Saccharomyces cerevisiae S288C: one gene and its partner. The gene in region 1 interacts genetically with each later gene. Each region holds a gene or a part of one and is shown in the gene's direction. Other genes may lie near its edges.

The links.
Region 2: of LEU5 (region 1) and MRX3, a mutation in one rescues a mutant of the other (synthetic rescue), as found in Saccharomyces cerevisiae (2 studies listed by BioGRID, with this or other methods).

The regions. Positions count from the first base shown.
Region 1 is NC_001140.6:107,073-110,385, forward strand, and holds LEU5 (coenzyme A transporter), read left to right. Parts: upstream 1-1,739; coding exon 1,740-2,813; downstream 2,814-3,313. Other genes in the region: oxysterol-binding protein related protein OSH7, read left to right, coding at 1-296; QCR10 (ubiquinol--cytochrome-c reductase subunit 10), read left to right, coding at 754-759, 823-1,050; TCD1 (tRNA threonylcarbamoyladenosine dehydratase), read right to left, coding at 2,956-3,313. UniProt on the Saccharomyces cerevisiae protein: Required for the accumulation of coenzyme A in the mitochondrial matrix.
Region 2 is NC_001134.8:41,117-44,589, forward strand, and holds MRX3 (Mrx3p), read left to right. Parts: upstream 1-2,160; coding exon 2,161-2,973; downstream 2,974-3,473. Other genes in the region: condensin subunit BRN1, read left to right, coding at 1-1,979; ROX3 (Rox3p), read right to left, coding at 3,140-3,473. UniProt on the Saccharomyces cerevisiae protein: Component of MIOREX complexes, large expressome-like assemblies of ribosomes with factors involved in all the steps of post-transcriptional gene expression.

The DNA.
Region 1 (3,313 bases):
CTGTACGTGACCATGAAGTAGCTACAGAAGAAAAGTTTCAGATAGAAAACCGCCAAAGAGAGCTGGCCAAAAAGAGGGCCGAAGACGGCGTTGAATTTCATTCAAAACTATTTAGAAGGGCAGAGCCAGGTGAGGATTTAGATTATTATATTTACAAGCACATCCCTGAAGGGACCGACAAGCATGAAGAACAGATCAGGAGCATTTTGGAAACTGCCCCGATTTTACCAGGACAGACATTCACTGAAAAATTTTCTATTCCGGCTTATAAAAAGCATGGAATCCAAAAGAATTAGGCTTCTCATTCTATTTTAATTATACTAGTACGATTTCTCACTCTGTAATTTAATATCAGTGTAATATGCACCTAGTTATGGGTAGTTTTTGCTAACGTTACGAGCCGCGAAACTGTCCTCAATCTTCACCACTACCTCTAATGACTGAAGAATGCTATGCGATATAACGCTGTCGCACTTTGAATATATACTTATATTTACATAGTTTTCAAGTGCGTATTACTATTGCAAAGTAGTATTTTGTCACGTGATTTTGATCCAATTAAAACTAAATATGGTTCAACCCGTTGTTTCCGCATCAAAAAACCATACCATTTATCAAGGGGACGGGATATATCACATAACAGTTTGAATGCATAATTTGTTATAGATATCTTCTGGAATAATCTTCACAGCAAAAGCGCAAGTCGAATAATATATCGATAAATACAATCCATAAGACTTAAAACTAACCTCAATGGCGGTAAGTATCCTATCATATTATGTGAGCTAGAACCGAATTAGTATACTAACATTTATAATACAGTACACTTCTCATCTGTCTTCAAAAACTGGTCTACATTTCGGTAGACTTTCTTTAAGAAGTTTAACAGCTTATGCTCCGAATTTAATGTTATGGGGTGGTGCTAGCATGCTTGGGCTATTTGTATTCACAGAAGGATGGCCTAAGTTTCAAGATACGCTATACAAAAAGATTCCGTTGTTAGGACCTACATTGGAAGATCATACTCCACCAGAAGATAAACCTAATTGAAGCCAAAACATCCAACCGGCTGAGTGATTTTATTTATTTGTTTTACGTTCTTTTCTATCATTTTGGAAGAGGAATTAATGCAAAACACATTTGTATTTTTTTTTATTTTTGCATATTCTCGATTATCTATACATATTTTTAAACTGGATCATAAAAGGTATAAAAAGTAATTGATCCATACAACATTTTTAAATATTTACCCCTCTATTTTCAGAATATTTACTAAAACATCAGTTATCAAAGAGTAGGGAAAAGTTAACTACAGGTTTGTTTTTCCTCTTTTTATGTATCTTTTGAGCTTTGTAATTGGGCAGCACATCTCTATGTTTTCAGGGAAACCTATTTCATTCGCCATTTTGATGATTTAGGCATACGCCAATGCTAACGCCGTTTCTTGTAATTTCTATTTTTTCAAATGGAGTACTTTACCTTCCTCCCGCAGCTGGAACTTTCAACCCGCCGGAAGAAAAGACCAAATAATATTATAATTAATATTTAAAACCCTTGAAAGATCATCTCTTAAAATAACCTCAAATAGTGTAAATCCAAGCACTTGAAAACTTTGCCGTTTTAGAACTCGTTAAATCCTTTAAGAAGGACATAACAGCCAGAGTAACAAAATAGTTTGCTCGTGAAAGCACCAGTGAAATTTCTCGAGGTAACTGCTAAAATAAACACAGTTCTTAAGTATGACGCGAGATAGCCCAGATTCTAACGACAGCTATAAGCATATAAACAAGAATACTACACAAAAAACCTCGTTTGATAGAAATTCATTCGATTATATTGTACGATCGGGATTAGCTGGAGGTATATCAGGTTCATGTGCGAAAACACTAATCGCACCCTTAGATAGAATAAAAATTTTATTTCAAACATCAAATCCGCACTACACAAAGTACACAGGCTCACTAATAGGATTAGTAGAGGCAGCCAAGCATATATGGATCAATGATGGGGTAAGGGGGTTTTTTCAAGGCCATTCAGCAACCCTTTTAAGGATTTTTCCATATGCTGCTGTCAAATTTGTTGCTTATGAACAGATTAGGAATACCTTGATTCCCTCAAAAGAATTTGAGTCACATTGGAGAAGGTTGGTGAGTGGTTCACTGGCAGGATTATGCAGTGTTTTCATAACATATCCGTTAGATCTCGTGAGGGTTAGGTTAGCATATGAAACAGAACATAAGAGAGTAAAGCTAGGAAGAATAATCAAGAAAATATATAAGGAACCAGCTTCAGCCACGCTAATCAAAAATGATTATATTCCTAACTGGTTTTGTCATTGGTGTAATTTTTATAGGGGTTATGTTCCAACTGTACTTGGCATGATACCATATGCAGGTGTTTCCTTTTTTGCTCACGATTTACTTCATGATGTGCTGAAGAGTCCTTTCTTTGCCCCTTATTCAGTATTAGAACTTTCAGAAGATGATGAATTGGAAAGAGTACAGAAAAAGCAGAGAAGGCCTTTGCGTACGTGGGCTGAATTGATCTCTGGTGGTCTAGCTGGTATGGCCTCCCAAACGGCAGCATATCCATTTGAAATTATTAGGAGAAGGCTCCAAGTAAGTGCACTGTCACCAAAAACTATGTATGATCATAAATTTCAATCGATATCTGAAATTGCTCACATAATATTTAAAGAACGTGGAGTACGTGGATTTTTTGTTGGTCTAAGCATAGGTTATATTAAAGTAACACCTATGGTTGCATGTAGTTTTTTCGTCTATGAAAGAATGAAATGGAATTTTGGCATTTAATTATGCATCGCATTTTGTTTTATTTGCATATCGCAATGAAACCGTCTATTCGGGTTCTATAGGAAGTACACTGCATTACACTATGATGTAAATAGTATTAATAAATCTATATTCAATATGTTGTATTTTTGATCTCCCATTGCTAAGAATAGTACTCCTCCTCTTTAAAAAGCCTCTCAATAAAATCGAGAACTTCTTCAGAGTATACAGCTGTCAGTTTCTCACCATCCAGCAAAATCCTTTTTTCGTGAATTTCTTGCTCTTCTTTCGTCATCAGAACAACATTGGTTAAGGAGATTTCTTTGTTAGCTTCCCATTTTGTTAGAGCTAGTTTCGTAGAGTATCCGCTAATAGGAGACTTGCCTCTAAACATTTCTTCAACTATATAACCGACCTCTTCTAATCCAAGCAATGACGATCGCTCCTTATTTTCATTCAACCGCGCCATCTGCTTTTGGAAAGTCTCTAGGATGCTGTCATAAAACTTTAACCTATTTTTG
Region 2 (3,473 bases), on another chromosome or scaffold:
AAACAGGTAAGTTATTGAGCGGGTTGGCACAAAGAAAGACGAATGGGGCATCTAACGGAGATGACAGTAACGGGGGAAATGGTGAAGGGCTTGGAGGTGACAGTGACGAAGCAAATATAGAGATTGATCCCTTAACTGGTATGCCTATATCTAATGATCCTGATGTGAATAACACTAGGCGGAGAGTGTACAACAGAGTTTTAGAAACAACATTGGTGGAGTTCGAAACGATCAAGATGAAAGAGCTAGACCAGGAATTAATAATTGATCCATTATTCAAAAAGGCCTTGGTTGATTTCGATGAAGGTGGCGCCAAGAGTTTATTGTTGAACACATTAAACATAGACAACACTGCAAGAGTCATTTTCGATGCATCAATTAAGGATACACAAAACGTAGGGCAAGGTAAACTTCAAAGGAAAGAAGAAGAATTAATTGAAAGAGATAGTTTAGTAGATGACGAAAATGAACCTAGCCAGTCATTGATAAGTACTCGTAATGACTCAACCGTAAATGATTCCGTTATTAGTGCACCTTCCATGGAAGATGAGATTTTATCTCTTGGTATGGATTTTATAAAATTTGATCAAATTGCGGTGTGTGAAATTTCAGGATCGATTGAGCAACTAAGGAACGTTGTCGAAGATATTAATCAAGCGAAAGACTTTATCGAAAATGTTAACAACAGATTTGATAACTTCTTAACTGAAGAAGAATTGCAAGCAGCTGTCCCAGATAATGCAGAAGATGATAGCGATGGCTTTGATATGGGCATGCAACAGGAGCTGTGCTATCCAGATGAAAATCATGACAATACATCACATGATGAACAAGATGATGATAATGTCAACAGTACCACAGGAAGTATATTCGAAAAAGATTTGATGGCATACTTTGACGAAAATCTAAATAGAAACTGGAGAGGGAGAGAACATTGGAAAGTACGAAATTTTAAGAAAGCAAACTTAGTGAATAAAGAATCCGACCTGTTGGAAGAAACGCGAACTACTATAGGAGATACTACTGACAAAAACACAACGGACGACAAATCGATGGATACGAAGAAGAAGCATAAACAAAAAAAGGTTCTGGAAATTGATTTCTTCAAAACGGATGATAGTTTTGAAGACAAAGTCTTTGCCTCAAAAGGAAGGACAAAGATTGACATGCCGATTAAGAACAGAAAGAACGACACACATTATTTACTGCCGGATGACTTCCATTTTTCCACTGATAGAATAACAAGATTGTTCATTAAACCGGGGCAGAAAATGAGTCTGTTCAGTCATAGGAAGCATACCAGAGGCGACGTTAGTTCGGGGCTTTTTGAAAAAAGCACAGTTTCTGCCAACCATTCAAATAACGACATTCCTACTATTGCAGATGAGCACTTTTGGGCGGATAATTACGAAAGGAAAGAACAAGAGGAAAAAGAAAAGGAGCAGTCTAAAGAGGTTGGTGATGTGGTGGGTGGAGCGCTCGATAATCCGTTTGAAGATGACATGGACGGTGTTGACTTCAACCAAGCTTTCGAAGGAACAGATGATAACGAGGAGGCCAGTGTGAAACTTGATTTACAGGATGACGAAGATCATAAGTTCCCCATTCGAGAAAATAAAGTTACTTATTCAAGAGTTTCGAAAAAAGTTGACGTAAGAAGATTAAAGAAAAACGTATGGAGATCGATCAACAATTTGATACAAGAACATGACAGTAGGAAAAATAGAGAACAAAGCTCTAATGACAGTGAAACCCACACAGAAGATGAATCAACAAAGGAGCTCAAGTTTTCTGATATCATTCAGGGTATAAGTAAAATGTATTCGGATGATACACTAAAGGACATTTCAACAAGCTTTTGTTTTATATGCCTTCTACACTTAGCCAATGAGCATGGGTTGCAGATAACTCATACCGAAAACTATAATGACTTGATAGTGAATTATGAGGATCTAGCGACAACACAGGCAGCGTCATAGTTGATGATCTTTTTTTTTTTTTTTTTTTTTTTTTTTGTGCTGCAAAGTTTCTTAAAGCCTTCGGGCTTACGAAATCCTTTATCGCCGAAAGGGGACCGCTTCGAAAAGTGGATATAAAACAAGGTATTTATTTTTATAGACAATGACCAAATGACAGGATAGATCGAGGGTGAGTTCCAATATGTCCAGAACTATTCCATTTCTATTTAAATTAGTCAACAGGGCAGTAATTTTGCCTACGGCAGGTTTTACATTAGGAGTTGGTGCGTTTGTAAAGGCGTGGCCCGATGATGCCGGTGTTCTATCATTGAATGATCCGCAAACGCCAGCGGAGTTGATTAGTGCGACCAAGAGCCGCCAACCTATGGAGCTGCAGAGGGTTGACATCCTCGCTCAAATCGAGAAAAGCGAGGTTTACAACAAGTTGGCCCAGGATGAGAAGATGCACCATGTCTTATTCAGTGAGAAAATACCAAGCGGGCATAGGGAATATCATGTAGGACAAGGCCTCTTGTTCGGCAAGGGGAAGCTTGAAATTGATCCTTTGGTGTTCCATGATGTGAATCACGGTGAATTAACCGTGATTTATCACTTAGGTGCTGAGTTAGGGAATCGAGACGGTAACGTCCATAAGGGCTTGTTGTCATTGTTGCTGGATGAAGCATTGTGCTATTGTGGCTTCCCTTTGTTGCCTAGTAAAAGAGGTGTAACTGCAAGGCTGTCGCTAGAGTTTTTTGAGGACATTCCTGTAGATACTACGATTATACTAAAAGCAAACGTCAAAGAGATTAAAGGCAGAAAGTGTATCATTGAGGGACACTTGGAACAGTTTCCGTTGGAAGTTTCTTCTCGAAATGGAACTAGAAGTTGGAACTTACCACATATTTGGGGTTTCAACCATAAGCAGGAGATGGCAAAAAAATTTGCCAAGGCCAATTGTATTCTCGTTGAGCCTACTTGGTTCAAATATTTTAAATGGCTTGATATGTTTTGAAAAAGCATGCCTGTCTCAAAATAGCCTATTCCGTGTTAATTAATATTCTATATTCAAAAAAGTTAAACATATATACTGCATGTACTTACCGCCGAAGCACAAACGTGCCACTTCCATGAACACTTGCTCTTTATTTATAGTGGGGCTGATATGCGATGGCGTAAAGCTACTCCAGCCTCCTTCTTTTCATATCCTCATGACTGTCACTATGTGTTGGTGTAGCCATCGAACTTCCACTAGATTTGTTCTTCCTTTTCTTACTATTGTTACCTGAATTTGAGCCGGATTGGCTTTTTCCTGTACCGTCTAGATCAAACGCCAAGTCGTCTATATCAAACGGCGCTTGGGCTCCCCCTTGGTTCTGGTTTGCGAACTCGCTTGGATATGACCTTTCAAACTGCGATAGTACCGAAGAGCAAAGGTCCCAATCGAAATTTGGAGGCTGAAACAATGCTATGTCTCTATTGCGCAGCTGTTCGCGCCATTGTTGCTCTGACATG